Astyanax mexicanus: one gene and its partners. The protein of the gene in region 3 purifies or fractionates together with the protein of the main gene of each other region. This does not show direct contact. Links are inferred from orthologs where the notes say so. Each region holds a gene or a part of one and is shown on either strand. Other genes may lie near its edges.

The links. The genes of interacting proteins can lie anywhere in the genome.
Region 1: the proteins of bmp2k (region 3) and reps1 purify together in Homo sapiens (affinity purification with mass spectrometry; 3 studies listed by BioGRID and IntAct, counting the BioPlex papers as one, with this or other methods). This does not show direct contact. The link is inferred for Astyanax mexicanus from reciprocal best matches to the Homo sapiens genes BMP2K and REPS1.
Region 2: the proteins of bmp2k (region 3) and ap2b1 purify together in Homo sapiens (affinity purification with mass spectrometry; 3 studies listed by BioGRID and IntAct, with this or other methods). This does not show direct contact. The link is inferred for Astyanax mexicanus from reciprocal best matches to the Homo sapiens genes BMP2K and AP2B1.

Annotation. Positions count from the first base shown.
Region 1 is NC_064408.1:82,929,596-82,935,401, forward strand, and holds the start of reps1 (ralBP1-associated Eps domain-containing protein 1), read right to left. Parts: upstream 4,013-5,806; 5' UTR 3,505-4,012; coding exon 3,352-3,504; intron 369-3,351; coding exon 245-368; intron 1-244. UniProt on the Homo sapiens protein: May coordinate the cellular actions of activated EGF receptors and Ral-GTPases.
Region 2 is NC_064408.1:29,622,984-29,628,789, forward strand, and holds the start of ap2b1 (AP-2 complex subunit beta), read left to right. Parts: upstream 1-1,613; 5' UTR 1,614-1,740; intron 1,741-3,163; 5' UTR 3,164-3,184; coding exon 3,185-3,221; intron 3,222-3,363; coding exon 3,364-3,469; intron 3,470-4,012; coding exon 4,013-4,148; intron 4,149-4,714; coding exon 4,715-4,960; intron 4,961-5,737; coding exon 5,738-5,806. Other genes in the region: pex12 (peroxisome assembly protein 12), read right to left, coding at 1,231-1,362. UniProt on the Homo sapiens protein: Component of the adaptor protein complex 2 (AP-2). Adaptor protein complexes function in protein transport via transport vesicles in different membrane traffic pathways.
Region 3 is NC_064429.1:17,137,378-17,143,183, forward strand, and holds the start of bmp2k (BMP-2-inducible protein kinase), read right to left. Parts: upstream 3,795-5,806; 5' UTR 2,724-3,794; coding exon 2,573-2,723; intron 1-2,572. UniProt on the Homo sapiens protein: May be involved in osteoblast differentiation.

The DNA of each region.
Region 1 (5,806 bases), on a different chromosome or scaffold from region 3:
TACAGGCTTAGGAGCTTGCAAACTAGTGACTAAAACACTTGCAGCAGAGACTACAAAGATTTTTAACATTGTGACAACAAAAAGCCTCCTAAAAAAAACTGTATTTAAGCTGAAGCATCAGTGTGGACCACAGGGCTGGAAGCAGATAGCTGAAAACAAACAAACAAACAAACAAACAGTGGAGTGGACCTAAGCTATGATTCTGAAGTGCTCATTTGAAATAACTGATCTTTTTTTTGCTTACCACTGTTTAGACTCTCCACACGAAGGGGCAGTCCAGACTGGGCTATTGCAATTAGTTTCAGGGCAATGTAGAACTGACTCCGACCAAAGTGACCAAGACGGGTGGCACCACAGAGTTCAGTGATCTAAAACAATCAATGAAGAGACAGACAATTTAGCACAACAAGTTGCCTCTAATAAAGCATAAAGTATGTTTACAAATAAATGGATATACTTTGTGTTTTTTTTGCCATTTGAGAGCATTACTATAGGTCCATTAATAATTAAATACTTATTCAATATAGGATTTACAAAACAATGTCTGTTTTTTGAAAACAACTTTGGCAAGTCACTCTATTATCACTGATGTTGAAGTGTCAAGCTAGACAGTTCTCACATGATTGCTTTTCACATGTCCAAGCAACTGTCAAGTCAGCAGATGATACAATCTAGTAGGAAGGAATAATGATGATGATTTTGAATTCATATAACTATAAGATAAGTGTTTACACATATAATCAACCACAGACAGATGTTTATATTTGACTAATATGTAAAGCTGATATTTAATTATCTAGTTATTAAACTCCAGTATAACAAAATATTCATTATACAGTGCATTTTAATGCCAGCATTTTATTAGTTTTACTGCATTTGTAATTATACAGAATCAATGGTTCTGCTTTCTGTAATGCTGATCAAGATAGACTTATTTCTAAAAACTTTATAAATGTTTTTGTATCATCATTGAAGATCTATTCACAAAAGAAATACTGGATTCTCTCGTCTGTTACAACTCCTATAACAGTGTATGTCTATTTTCAAGTGTAACAAGTGTATTATAAATTAATACATAGACAAAAACCTGTAACAGTAAAAAGTAAAGGTAAATCTGATTTCTATTGTTGATGGTATATAACAGTGGGTATAAAAGTGTGATTAAGTTGGAAACCTGGAATACCTGCTACTTTATTTAATCAACTCTTACCATAAAGATATTATTCTGGACCACCCACAAAAACATGGAGTTAAATGTTAACATATTTGTTTGTGTCTAAGCTTTCAGGCATTATTCAACATCCTTCTATCAGCCAGATATAAACTATTTTATTTGGGCCCATGTTTGGCCACAAACGGACTTTGCTTGTTTATACAATACACTGTAGATGTCTAAGCTCGCTGTGAGATCTGTGTGATATGTCTAGCATAGCTGGAATTATCATAAGTGTGGTTAACCAGCTGTAACAGTATTGAGATATTATCAGCACTGCAAAGCTATCAAGCCTGCCAGAAAGCTTACTCTGAGCTAAAGCCTCATGCGAAGGTTTAGGCAACCTTGGTGAAACGGGTTTGTTTATTTTCTGCAAGCAAGTTATCATATTCTCTATAGAAAGAAATTCATATCTATTTAAATTGTATATAGGCAAATGTAAGTGCAAAATTACTTTGATTTTGCTGAATGTAACAAAGTGTGCCATTAGAAACATTTATTATTTGGGTTATTTACAACATTTGTGTTATCTGCAGCAGTAACACTTTCTAGCAACATTAACTAACAGTTAGTTAATGTGGTTGGTGTTGCAGGGTGGGTAACAAAAATGCTTTAATTTCAATAACTATGATTTGATTCCATGGCCATGAAAACACACCACATTACACCAACAACTAGCAATTTCCCAGACAGGGATTAAGACTAGTTTTAGACTACACAGCATTTAAAATGGTATTTTGTATTAAAAGAAAAATACAGTCTAAGACCAGGCTTAACTGCTGTTCTGGAAAAAGAGGAGTCCTTGGGCACATTAGTCAAGAGCATTAACTAAATATCATACTTCAGTCTAAGGGATGAAAGGTTAAAACATTAAAAATATCATATTAACACATTGTTCAACTTTCTCTAATGTAGTCAATGAATAGGGAGAGATTTGCTGCATTTTGACCCTGAATTCTGTCACAAAATAGATTTGCACTGCGTTTTGCTACCCCGCATTAATCCGACAGCTCCTGTAGCTACTTTAAACACCTTAAATATACACACTTCAGATCCCAAACACGTCTTTAGTCGATAGACTAGTGATCCTGGGCTCCTGTGTCAGTCAATCAGCTAGCTTAGATTTTTTTGGGGAGCCAGTCTTGTCATTACATCTAGCCAGCAAGTCAGTCCCTTTTAAAGCTAATGCTATACTGGCATTCCTCAAAACTGACACAACATTTAAATCAACCTATTAACCCCTTAACATGCCTTGACGAGTATACAGGCTACAGATGTAGGTGATAAAAACCTTTTTTTCTGCAGTAAAATAACTTATTTACATTCTGAAAATTTGAGAGATTTAAAAATATCCTATGGGACATTTGGAAAAGCTGCTTATTTTCTCTCTACTTAAGAATTACAGATCATTAACAGGAATCGAACTAAATTCTGCATGTTTGAAAATAGACGTAAATACTACACAAAAATAACGAAACTGAAGGTTTGGAGGACATAAACTGTTTAATTTGTATTCAGGAAAATATTATTTTAATATGAAGTTCAGTACAGAGACAATTTTATAATTGTATACATTATAGTTTGACATTAGCAGATTTACTTAAATATGTTTTTATACTTTCTATTACAATAACAATTTTGCCTTTCAGTAATGTTCTTTATCGATCATGAAAGCTTTTTATGTAATGATTGAATAGAAATCCTCAAGATTTAGGGGTGTAACTTAATGTCACGCAGAAAACTGACAAAAATCCTGGCCTGTTAAGGGGTTAAAACATCGAAAAGCAAGGTTTTACAGTTAGTTAGCAGTATACTTAAGCCAATGTCCTTTAAAAAAAATACAGCCTACACTTTTTAGCTAGTGTTCATTAAGTTAGCTAGTAAGCTAGCTAGTGTTTTCCCTGCTCTCAGCACACACCTAACCCAACTTGATCTAGCTAATCAACTGATTCACAGCCTGTCAGTAGGGGTTATTATTAAGGTGGGTGTGTTAGGTTAGCTAGCAAGTGTTCATATGAGGAAAAGCACTAATGTTGTGAGGGCAGTGGGCCTCCAGGAGCAGGAGCAGGGCTGAGAGACACTGCTAGCTCTTAAGCTGTGTGTGTGTGTATGAGACAGTGAGTCTGCGGAACTTGCACCTGCAGCACCACGTCGTTGGAGAGCTGGGCCGCCCGGAAAAGGTCGAGCACTTTCCCGTTGGAGGCCACTTTCTTGGTGTTGTCCACATCGCAGTAGATGAACAGATCCGAGTAGTATTTCTGCTCCACATCGGTCAGGGTCAGACTCTCCATGGTGGCATACAGCTGAACTACAGGAGACCGACAGAGAGAGAGCGGAGCGGTGTCCCAGAACTCAGCCTAGCGGAACCAGACCCGGACCAAAACACACCACTGAAGACGAGTTCTACTCCCCCGGCTACTCAGCTCACTCCAGACCCGCCCGGGTGAAATGTACGGACCGCAGAGCCGCGCTGTTCCTGCCTCTCTGTCCCCGTTAGTCTCCGCTGCGCTGCCGAGGCTGCCCGTTAGCTCATTAGCAGCGACAGGCTAACGGCAGGCTAACAGCTAATCAAACTCCTGGATCCGCGGACGGGCTCGGTCCTATTACTATCAGCCTCCCGCCGCCGCTCAGCGGTTCGCACTCCGCTCTTCTCACCGGGGAGCTCGTTTTCTAGCGGCGGAGCGAGCGGCCTGCGCAGGCGTCGGCTCTGGAGAGAAATGCGCGGATCTGTTTGTTAGTAAAGTTTCGAGCTCCTTCCCTCAGCAGCGCCGCCATTCCTGAGCCCCCCGACGTCACCGCGCAGTCATCAGCAGGACGAAGGACCCGGATGACGGGCCAACGGTAAAGGGCTGTGTCTCAAATCGACACATTGCTCGCATTATAGCAGTTAGTGAGTTGTGAAATGGTACACCGCCGTTAGAAGTGCATTTATTATGGTATCTGATCTGTGAACTGATTTTTCACAGTGTATTGTTTATCTTTTAGGTATTTTTACTCTAGCTTTTTATGTAATAATTCACTTTGTGTTATTCTAACAAAAAAAAATCCGTTTAGGATAAAGAAAGTTATATCTTAATAATCTTAATTTTAATTTAAAATTTCAAGCCTGAAATGAAATATATATATATATATATTTGTTTAAATCTAATCTTGTTATTCTGCCTTCAAGTTCTCTTCAGAGCTTAAACGTGTGAGGTGATTTTCCCAGCCAGCATGGTCGATTCGGGCACTTGGCATTCACTTGAGTAGTTTCTCAATACCAAGGACGCAAAACAAACAAAAAAATCACATGACATAACAGAATAAAACAGCTGTTTGTATCAAATAAAATAAGATTTGACAACTAGAGTACTATATTTCTTTCCTCCCCTGCTAAAAAACCCAGCTCAAGACCAGCTTCATCCAGAAAAAATGCTGGTTAAAGAGCTACACTACCAGCATTGGATATGTTTTTAAGAACTTTAATCAGAACTTTAAGAACTTTAATCAGACTTGGTAAACGTGTTCTTATGTACTGAACTGCAGTTTGTGCTCAGGTGTGGACTCGGCACAGTGCATTTGGGTTGAGTCCAGGCTGAGCTTGGTTACGGGTATAGCTTGACTTTGGTTAAAACTATGAATGCTCTGGAAATAACGTTTTTGTCATCAAAAGATATCATTTGTATCCTGTACTTATCTGTTTTTATGTATAGATGAGACCAAGCCATTAAAGAGATTTGACTAGTGTTCATGAGTAGCTTCTAAAAATCTAACATACCACCAGATAGTAATAATTCTTTGACTGATAGTTAATCATTTACCAAAGTTTAATGTTAAATGTTAAAACAAATTATGCTTGTATTTATTATTTTCATGGACAATAATTATTGTTTTACTTTGTTCAATTTTGGTTGGCAACAAAATGGTTAAGCCTTTGAACCGCCAAAAGGAAAAATGTCCAATGAGGATTCTTTTCCTCAGTGAAGTTTACATAGATACAGCCAAGTGAGCGCTCCCATTGGCTGGAATTTAACCAGCAAACCGAAGGCCAAATGTGTCAGACAGACCAATTACAAATTAGGTAGAGACAGTAGTTAACCAGTTCTACATTATAGTGTAGTAAAAACAGTTTCAGGTCTTTTTAACTTTCAAAATAGATATGCCTAACCCACAAGACAAGCAGTAGTGTAGCCACGATTTAGTCAGCTGTTAAAAAATCATATTAAACGGCATGATTTTAGACTGTGATTATTGCACAAACTGAATGCGTTGGTATTAGTTATTATTGCATTTTAAAAATGTGACACATTCTTAAATTAACCACTATGTCTATAGCCCTATATATAGGCTCACCGACTGATTTCAAGATTGAAGACACCTGTTATTTTCCGCAGAGCCATCATTTCTGTCCAGGCCTGTTTAATGAGTTTAATTTAGTTGAAGCATGGTTGAAAAGCAATGTGTGACTTCCATTAGTTCATTTCTATAGATTTTTAATTATTACTTTTGTCAGATTCAAGTTATTTCTGCGACCATTGTGTTTTTTTCTTTCATTACCAAGGGGGTACCAACAATTTTGTCCACGTGACAAAATGCTACCAGACTGCAATATTG
Region 2 (5,806 bases), on a different chromosome or scaffold from region 3:
GTAGGCTTGTGTTGTTGTTGTTGTTGTTGTTATTATATATAAATATAGTAATTTATCGTTTGCTTTAAAACGTAAAATAATTATTTAAATATGTTTCTCAATGAATAGATTAGTCGACTAATCGAAAAAAATAATCGTTAGAATAATCGTTTAAAAAATAATCGTTAGGGACAGCCCTAGTTTCATTACTTTAAAGTAACATATATTAATAGAAACAATATGGTTTAGAGGCTCTTTAATATTGAATTTAAAAGCTGTACCGAGGCCCAATATGTTAAACTATATTTGATTTTGCAAGGTTAGTAAATGTTTAAGTCAATTAAGAAAGTCTCTCGACTAATGATATCAGATCGGTATGGGGTATCAACTTTTAAGTTAACTTCTGCCTCAGTATTGGAAGTGAAAAAGTGAAAAAAGTAATAAAAAAAAAATCACTGCATCCAATACAAAGCTATAACTACAGTACCAGGCATATTTGGACAAACCTTTCACCTCATAAAATGTTTTTCTTTATTTAATTGTAGATTAATAACAAACACATAAAAACAATTAAGGCACATATATGGAATTGGAGCTTAGTGCAAAGGAAAAACAGCAACTACTATTTAGCACCTTCAGGAACTCCTTTAAGACGCTAAGAAAACTATACCAGGTGACTCTACCTCATAAAGACACTGAAAAATACCAATTGTGCAGATCTGTCCTTAAAGCTAAACATGGAGGAATCTAAAATATGAAACATATTCTGGTCTGTTTAACAATCATATTCATGTACAGCTTTAATGATTTCAATATTAAATTTATAATGTAAAAATTGATTTGTATAATATTGCAATATTTTGAGATTAAATATTTAAGAAAAACAGTATTGAATACAAAACAATAAATCAACCTGTTATGGTTGTGATGATAATCGTTATTGTACATAATAATATGGATTTGTGGTGTAACCAGAGGGATAGTTTGAAACTAACTAGTAGTTATTAAGGACTTAGTAGAGACTTTACACACAAACTTAAGAAGGAACTTACGCAAAAGTGGTGCAATGTTCTCTAACTATAATTATGCTTTCATACTATGAGAGTTAAAATTGTTGATGTCGATGTTATATACGGAATTGTTTATAGTATCACAATCTATTGCTATATACCGAATCGTAACCCCTTCAAGTATCGTATCGCCAGGATCACAACACGCAGTCCTCAGTATTCAGTTGTTTTGCGGGCTTACCTTCACGGCGTGCTGCAGTGCGGGTTTGACAGCACCCATCAACGAGTCCTGAGCTAAAACCTCAAAAATACTCGGCCTGTCTTCCACTGCTGCTGCTGCTGCTGTGGTCAGATGTGCTCCTCTCTCCGCCATTCTGAGCGAGTTTACAGATAGATAACCTACTTAAACTTCAAAATTAGACTGTAAATCAGAGAATACTTCAGTTAGGAAGCGAACAGCGGTGTCTATAACCCACTCTGCGCTCAAAACAACCAGAACCGGGCGCCATAGTGGCCAAAGTACAGTGTAAACACTGTTTAACGCATGCCATTCTCTGCACCTCGGCGGTGCAACAACATGGCTGTTCCGTGTTTTTCCAAGAGCTCCCAACTTTCCGTTCCGGCCGCTCCATCTTCTTCCCCCCTCCGTCTACAGCTGTGGCAGTGAAAGCGGCCAGCAGCAGCAGCGGTTCACTCCAGCTCCGTTTACACCCGGATACCCTTTAAAATCCTCTCCGCTCCTGTTTCCGAGGTAGGGGCTTTTATTGTTGCTGTTTTGGACAGTCTGTTTATTTGCTGGCGAGGCGAGTTAAAAGGCCGATTTAACGAATGTCGTTCATTTTTCGTAGATGATAGCTAGCGATAGGTTAGCTTAGCAAGCTACCTAGCTAGTTAGCCTAGCCCAGATAACCTAACGTTAAACGGTCACACCCAGGGGTAATTGCTATGGGAGCCTCAAATATCGAGCTTAAATACATTATTTACACTGAATATACTGTGTTTTCTGTCTATGGGTAAATAAATAAACAGTGTTCTGTCTGAGAATGGAGCTGAACGGATATGAACGGATTCCTGGCCGGCCTGCTGTGTTTCGGATGTTCATTCTGATTAGATAAAGTTATTAAGACATATTAGACGTTTCTTTCATTTGTTTTCCAGCAGAATAAGCTTTATACTGAACATATATCTCTTTTTAAATTCACCATGACTATATTAACCTTCCTACCTGGCTAACATTACACCCATAGCCAAATATATAGTAAACTACTTATATATTTTCTTAATTTATTTAAGGGTTTTTTTTTTAAGAAACTTATTTACAAATCCTTTGGATTAATGATAATTATTGAAGAGTTTACATATCATTACACCATCAAATTTTTTTAATGCATAGATATACACGCATAACTATACACACATATATTCTTACAGGTCTGGAACATAAATAAGAGACCACTTAAAAATTATGTGTTTCTTTGATTCTACCAAATTGAAAACCTCTGAATTATAATCAAGAGGAAGATGAATAGTCACAAGACATCAAACCAAACTGAACTGCTTAAATTTTTGCACCAGGAGTGGCATAAAGTTATCCAAAATCAGTGTGTAAGACTGGTGGAGGAGAACATGCCAAGATGCATGAAAACTGTGATTAAAATCCAGCGTAATTCCACCAGATATTTATTTCTGAACTCTTAAAAATATGTAAATGAGCTTGTTCTCCTTGCATTATTTGAGGTCTAAGAGGTCTGCGTCTTTTTTGGTATTTTAGCCATTTCTCATTTTCTGCAAATAAATGACAATATTTACATTTGGAATTTAGGAGAAATGTTGTTTGTAGTTTATAGAATAAAACAACAAAGCTCGTTTAAATCGTACAACACATACAACTACTACAATATTAGAGCTTATGTCCTTTGTAAGTGTTAAATAAGTTACAGGGTTTGAAAGAGATTTCAGTAAATGTCCTATAAAACATATACAATAGGGTAGGTAGCGAGATAATTTGGCTATGGGTGTAACCTTAGCTAGATTTATGTTAAATCTATCATTCTTTTTTGCCAAACGGCTATTTTTTTGCATTATAAAAAAAAAACTTTCACAACATAAATTGAGACTCCTATTTGTGGTTACATATTTATTTGTATTATTTTAATGTGTGCTTTTCTCTGAAGTGAACTTGAACACCAATCAAAATGACAGACTCAAAGTATTTCACTACAAACAAAAAAGGTAAGGTTTTAACTTTGATTGACATTTATTTTTTCTCATTAATAAATCTGAATTAAACCTCACTCACACCTGGCATGGTAGTTTTATCTGGTCAGTGCTTTATGTTTTATTAACCTTACCCTACAATTATTATTTTCTATAGGAGAGATATTTGAACTGAAAGCTGAGTTAAACAATGAGAAGAAGGAGAAGAGGAAGGAAGCGGTGAAAAAAGTCATCGCTGCCATGACCGTGGGCAAGGATGTCAGGTATGATGGGTTTATTGGACACTGTTATTTAAATGCAGGGCAAGGATCATTTTCAGGGCAATAATGTCACGTGTTCTGTGAGCTATTTGCTTTATATGTTTTTTAATTGTTTGGGCCACAGACATCGCAGTTGTAATTTATTTATAATGATTCTGTAAGGAGAACGAAATTAATTTCTTTTTTTTCTTGGGGATTATTTGTTAGAAAAATGTTTAAATGAATCCCACACTGTGTAGGCTGTAATTTAGCTTAGCTTTAGCTCATTTTCATTTTGACTTATTATTTTGCACTGCAGTTGATGCTTTATTATTATTATTATTATTATTATTATCATTCCTTATTCTGTGACTATTAAACACTCTAGTCAATAATCAAGTAAAAGTGTTTCAAAGTGCTAGCATGTTTTTTTTTTTTGTTTTTTTTTTTCATTTGACTGTTTAAGTTTGTCTCTTTATTTAAAATAGATTATGAGGAGATTTGTATATTGCTGATGGTGGTGATCTTGATTTAAATCTATCCTGCCTCGTTCTTTCCTCTCTGTAGCTCTTTGTTCCCGGATGTGGTGAACTGCATGCAGACTGATAACTTGGAGCTGAAGAAACTGGTCTATCTATACCTGATGAACTATGCCAAGAGTCAGCCTGATATGGCCATTATGGCTGTCAACAGTTTTGTAAAGGCAAGTTTTTCTCTTGATATTAAAGAAGAGATGCTTAAAATGTGCTTATGCTATTTGCAACTTAACTCTCAATAGGTATTGCTTTAAACCACTTGCTTTAAACATTATAAACACATAGAGCATGTAGCTTTTCCTTTATCTTTCAAAATGATAGTGGCATTCTTCTTTAGAAATAACCCTAGGTTAAACATGTTCTGTGAGATTTAATGTCATAAATATTCCACTGTATTCTGTTGGTTTGGAGAAAGCTTGGAGAAACTTTTGGAAGCATTTAGGCTACATTTACATCACTAAACTGAAGTAGTCCAGCTCTGTTTTTATAAGCTGTAGATGAGAGCTGTTTTATTGCAAATTTGTTTCTCTAAAGCCTATTAAATATATAAGTGGTCAATATTGCAATTATTGTTTTAGGATCTGTATGGTCATCATGATTCACAGTGTAAAATTCTGAGTATGTCATTGTTTAATTCAGGTAGAAGATCCTATCTCTATTATTTTAAATTAATCTTGTTAATCACTACAGATGTCCTGTGGTGACATTACTGTGTGTCTGTCTTTTCCCTCAGGATTGTGAGGATCCTAATCCACTCATTCGAGCCCTGGCTGTGCGCACCATGGGCTGCATTCGTGTGGATAAGATTACAGAATACCTGTGTGAGCCTCTGAGGAAATGTCTGAAGGATGAAGACCCGTATGTGAGGAAGACTGCTGCTGTGTGTGTGGCCAAGCTGCATGACATCAATGCTCAGATGGTGGAGGACCAGGGCTTCTTGGACTCCCTTAGGGACCTTATTGCTGACTCTAACCCAATGGTTCGTAATTATGCTCGTTGTGTGCTAAACGTAAAAATTCATATGTTTTATGTATAGGTTAGCTGAAGTTAACATCGTGTGGGTTGCCAGATTGGCACATTTGCCAGATCTCTCATTTTCATGGCTGCAGCATGCTGTTTGCATGTTGTTGTGTTCTATACCTGGCAACCCAGAGTGTGGAAATGGGACTGGGGAAATTGCGGTAGGCAGACTTCTTTGTGCACAGTTCCAATAAGAAAATACTGACTGAAGCTCTGCTGACAAGAGCTGCCAGTGATTAAAGCCAGCATGTTTCCTTAATAACTGATGATACATCCTTACCATTATATCACTACAGAAAATATCATCCTTAATAGTTCCAAAGGTACCGTTTAGAAAAGTGCATTGTTTCACATTAAGCATAGCCTTAAATGGCCTGAGGTAGAGTGCAGGAATTGATCAATGACATTAGGTAAGGAAGGGCTGGTCAGTCCAACGTTAAATGTGCCCTGCAACTGAGTATTCACATTGTATATATTTTGTTCCCTTACTTCATAGTCCTGAGACTACAATCATATTGTAAGTGCGTATGTATAATTCTGCTGGTATGCATTTATACTAGTTTGTTTCCCTTTAGTGAAGCATACAGAATCGAGTTGAGCATTAATGACTCCCTCTTGTGGGGAAAAAAAAATTCTCAACATTAAGGAGTGTGAGATTTCAGCCAGAATTGTGAGATGCTTTGCCTTTAATAGGAAACTATATTCTCTATTATTTTTTTCTTTTTGTTCTCTTTAGGTTGTGGCTAATGCAGTGGCAGCACTGTCTGAGATCAGCGAGTCTCACCCCAATAGTAATCTCCTGGAC
Region 3 (5,806 bases):
ATGATCACGTAAAACACATCCTAATGACTGTTTGTCTCCAACTTCCTTCTTACTAAGTAAGCGCAGAGAGGTGGCCAAAAAATAAGAAAAGGGAACTCCTCAAGCTCCATCCAAAAGCCACAGTTGTTTGTGCAGTTAAACTTCTGCACAGGCAGCAAAATTACGTAATTTCATCCAGTCAGCAACATCCAAGCTACAGAGACCCTTTAGCTGGAAACAGACGCAGAACAAATCATGACATATTTCCCAGAAAGGAAAAAGCTGCAGCTTGTATTGCACAAAAGCCCGAAGTACAGATCGGAAGATGATCTGCATTAAGTGCGAAAAGGCAGAATGTCTTTTTAAGCAAGAAGCACAAACAGTAGAATTCTCGAAACCAATCCTGCTCCTGGAGGGCTACCTTCCCAAAGATTTCAGACAACCCTAATCCAGCCACCTGATCCAACTAATTACTGCCTTCCAAACTTCTCAGTTGACTACAAGGGGTGTGTTAGATGTTGGTTGGAGCTGAAACCATAAAGAAGGTAGTTCCCAATGGGGGACTTAGAGACTTTACTACATTACAGAACATTTCTGCCATGCAGGACTGTTTTTAAATAAATTACAACACAATCAGAAGACCACCACTCAGAAAATATATTAAAATATTTTATGTATATAAAGAGTAACACAAAACAGGCCATTTATTTCTAAAGAGATAAAGAAAGAATATAAACTGCCTCAAAACAAAATGCAAATATTGTAGAAAACTGGCCCTTTTAAGCAAACATTGAATGACAACTGAGTAATCTCTAGGGTGGTGTACATCTGGCTTCATCTAAAGCTTTGCGGAAACGGGGTATCCTTGGGAGGCCTGTGATGACTGTGCTTGCTTGTGTGAACCCCTTGCTCTCTCTACAGCTGACGTGCCGAGGACTGAAACAACAGGATGGACACATACTGTTATGGCCAAGGCCAAGGTCAGTGACAGGCCTTCAGCATGCTTTCCTACAAAGACCTACATTTTTGGTGGCCTGGACTAGGTGGTGTACAGGCTGCTCTTAATATGGAACTGTTTGTGAGTTCTTCAGCATCATGTCAGCTACAGTATCTCAACTTTTCTGACAGATAAGACAGTGTCAGTTCCTGTATTTGTACTTTAGGAATTGATAGTTCACACATATTCTATGAAGTAATTTTCATACAGGATCTAGCACTTCCTTATCTTTCAGGATATTTTTCATACTGCAATGAATATAATTATAAAGTACTCACTGAAAAAACTAGATTAGAGACATTAGACACCAAGGTCGCACAATATCTAGTTTTAAAATAGACATTGTCTTAAGCGCATCTGATATTTTCATGTGAGGCAAATTAAAACATGTCAACCTACAAGTACAGACAAGAAACAGAAAAAGACTGTTTGAACAACATGCTCTCAGACATGATGCTCATAGCTACCAAAGTTTTGCTACACTATAATATAGGAGTGTGCCGTACTGTAGACAATAATATCGTATAACTTTTTTTCACACAAAGAAATATCCATATCATGGTGTTCTTAAAAGCTTCTTAAAATTATATTAGTTCTACTATTTACATTGAATTGTTTGTTGTTTGCATTATATATGCATGCAGTAAATATGCTGCACTATTTTTGTGGTAGATTTTTGTTACTGATTTTTACAACACTACAAAATAAGGTTCTTAGTAATTTACTTCTTACTCATAACACACATATGTTTACAAATATTTTTTTGGTTTCTACTAAATGAATAAATAAAGCTTTAATATTTCTTTTGTGGCAGTCGTTTTTCCTAATTTTTTTTATCCCATTTTCTCCCCAATTTACAATGCCAATTACCCAACCCACTCATAAAGACCCACCCTTTTATGATTGATGCCCGAACACCAGGAGGGTGAAGACCAGCACATGCCTCCTCTGATATATGTGAAGTCAGCCAACGCCTCTTTTTGAGCTGCTGCTGATGAAGTATTACAGAGTAGCATCAAAGCGCACTTGAACAAAAGCGCAGTGACTTGGATTCCGATACATCAGCTCACAGACGCCTTGTGCTGACTGTCATCAACCTAGGAGTGATGATCGCCATCTACCCACCCAGAGAAAGCAAGGCCAATTGTGCTCTTTTAGGGCTCTGGCAGCTGATGGCAAGCTACATGAACCGAATTCAGCTGGACCACCATTTATTTTTTAAACATTGTGCTTTTTTCATTACACCAATTATATCATTATGGCAGAAATACCCTGAATTATTGTGATGATATTTTTGGGCCATATCGCCCACTCCTACAAGAAAAGGGTATCTAGCCAACACTTTACTTTAATAAGGATCACACTAACTAACGACAATAATAAACATTGTTAAATTGTCAACTAATTATTAATTGACACTAATTAAAGACACTGTTTAAGATTACAAAATGTTTATAATATTTTATAATTCATTTGTAGACATTCTGTTGTAGTTAAGTACTGTTAATTCAACATAAGTTACCCTCATTGTAAAGTGTTAACGCTTACCTAACAAAGAAATAAATAACACTTTATTCACAGTAATCATTTCCATACCTTCAGCGATCAGCTCGTCCACGGTGACCTGGTATCTCCCGATGGCGAACACCCTCCCGATAAAGTTGCTGCCCCCGGTTCCGGACCCGGAGCCCGAGGAGCCTCCGAGCCCCCCGCTTTCAGACTTTGGCATTCGAGAAAACTTCTTCATCCTTACCCCCTAGCTACGATTCTGCCTTCCCCGAAATGAGGGGAGCAGTACAGAAGAGTCCAAATCACACAAACACGACCCTCAAACTTCTAGCTGCTCATCTCCTCCAGCTCGCCCCGCATCGCTGCTCCAGCCCGCGGTCACTTCGGAGCCATCGCGGCGGTCCCTCGGGTTTCCTCCAGAGCGGAAAACCCAGCCACGCCTGCCCTCTTTCAGACCACTTCCCCGGGCTAGAGCTGAGTGACGGGGTGGATGTGTGACTAGCAAGCAAGCTAACTAGTTAAAATTCGCTAGCTAATGTAGTTAACTGTAGTTTAACTGTACGTTAACTGTTAGGTAGTTAGCTGGCTACCAATGCTAGCAGGCTGTCTGCCAGTTAACAACTAACGAGACTGAGATTCGTTAGTTAGATATAGTTAGCTAACCTAGCTTAACTAGCTAGCTAGCAGGCTAACAGCGCGAGCCCCGCTCCGCTCCACCTTTAACGGTCACCCGCTCAGTCAAAAGCAGTTGGCCTCGAGTCAGGCGGCCGTGGTAGCTAGTTCGGCTAAGCTAACTAGCTAATTTTCACCAAACACAACGGTGAAACTAGGAAAATGACTTAAAGTGGGTGTGTTAGTTAGCTAACTAAGCTCAAGCCAGTCAACTCTCAGTCCTCTTGGTCCTCCCTCTCTCTTTCTCTCTCTCTCTCTCTCTCTCTCTCTCTCTCTGTTTTGAGTGGAGGAAGATAACACACACACAGACACACACCTCCCCCGCCGCTCACTTCCCCTTCCACAGTTAGCCTCAGACAGCTAGCGCGCTGGCTAACCCTCCTCCCCGCTCCAGATGCCTCCTCTCGCCGTTAGCTCAGCTAGCGTAGCTAACCTAGCTACGTTACCCACTCTCAGTCAGTCAGCCAGTCCAGGCCTGCAGCCAGGCTTCAGCAGTAAACTCGACTTATTCGGTCAGACCGCGCTCCCCCGCACCGCTCCCCTCCCTCCAGCTTCGGCCAAAAAACTTCCAGCTCCCGTGACTCTCCGCCGCGGAGAGAAGTGGGAGGTTTCTGTTGTTACCCAGCGCGCGCGCCCGCCCGCCTGATAGTGAAGGCAAGTTCGATTCATTCTAACGAACCGACTCTACCAAACTGTAAATTCCAATGAATCAAACCGTTCACTCAAGGAGTCGTTTCCGTGTTCAGTGATTACATCCAGTAATATGCAGTACAGTATAGCAAACAATTTCAGTCTTTTTAATCAACAATTTAATCATACTAGCAATCCAATTTACTATTAATAATATCAGATCTACAGATTTCTGTTCCTTAAAAACACTCATGCTTTACTAGTGCATCTAAAATAATAAAAATAATAATAGAATATTATTGAGTTTATCAAAGTTACTTCAGTAAGCTATTTCCAGTGATGGTATAGTTACTTTGAAAAAGTAATCCGATTACTGATTACTAATTACTCCTTTAAAAAGTAACTTAGTTACTTTATGGATTACTTGATTTTAAAAGTAACTAAGTTACTTTACAAGTTACTTTATTAGTTACTTTCAGCAGCTGCAGACACCACCTCCCGCCGCCTTAACATAAACATTATAACCAGTTTTGCCAATACTCCGTTTATTGGAAAATGCATTTTTAACAGCAACAATTTATCTCTATTAAGTTGAACTATTTCCTAAAAAAATATTTTTTTTTTTTATAAAAATAAAAAAATTAACTTAACATAAATATTTTTTTATAAAAAATAAAATATGGTCTTTCTTGATTTTACTAAACATAAATGAGTGATGAAAAGGCATGAAGTGCTGAAAGATTTCTAGGAAAACAGTACATTGATTTTGGACTTGATAGAACACAGTGGACCAACACCAGCAGATGACATGACTCGCCAAACCATCACTGATTGTGGAAACTTCAAATTAGACCTCAAGCAGCTCGTGGTCTCTCCACTCTTCCTCCAGACTCTGGTACCTTGATTTCAAAATGAAATTCAAAATTTGTTGATGTTCAGTGATGATTTGGAGAACTATTATTAGCAATAGTATTATTGATAGTCAAAACCTGAATTGTTCACCTGATTTCTATACCTATAGCATACATCCAGCACCTCAGGAGCAATAGAGATATTCTTTTTTTGTGACAGTGACAATGAACATACATACACATTCACTGTTTTATTTTTTATATTCAGCACATGGTTGTTAGGTGCATGCACTTTGTTGGAACACTCATTTTGCTTTAGTGGATTAATAAAGTCTTATCTTATCTCACATATGAATGACTTGGCTAAGTAAATTTTATGCTTGTGTCTACATACAATGGTGTTTACCAAGCAACCCCACTTTGTCTTCTTACCATTTGTGTTCCACTGATATTAGATGTTATTAGATTACTGTCTCACATGGAAGATAAAAAAACGGTGCACTGACCTGCAGGATATGAATGTGTGGCCTCCTGCACTGAATGTGATTGTGATTTCTGCCAAACTGCATTGTCCCATAATAAAGAGTGCTGCACTGATAATCTTCAGAATGGGCCTTATACACCAATTGTACTGTTTTACTTAATTTCCATTATAAGTTACAATACAAATGTAATTTAGAGCATTTGTAGAAAATGGGAAATGGTCCAAATAATGAAAAAGGTACAGTGCTTGTAAACCTTAAATAATGCAAAGAAAACAAGTTCATAATTATTTATAAACAACAATGCTAATGTTTCAAAATATTCAGAAATCATTATTTGGTGGAAGTACACTGATTTTTAACACAGCTTTCATGCCTCTTGGCATGCTCTCCACAAGTTTTTCACACTACTTTTGGGTGACCACTCCTGGTACAAAAATTCAAGCAGTTCAGCTTTGTTTGATGGCTTGTGACCAACTTACATCCTACATGATTATAGGTTTTTCAATGGGGTTCAGGCTGGAGATTGACCGTCAACTGAATGTCAGTCAGCAACCGCAGGATGACATCAAGAGACAATACTTAATTCCACACAGCTAGGTGTCAATGAAGGACCACCAGATTAAGACAGTGTCATGGCCAGCCCAATCTCCAGACCTGATCCCCATTGAAAACCTATAAAATAT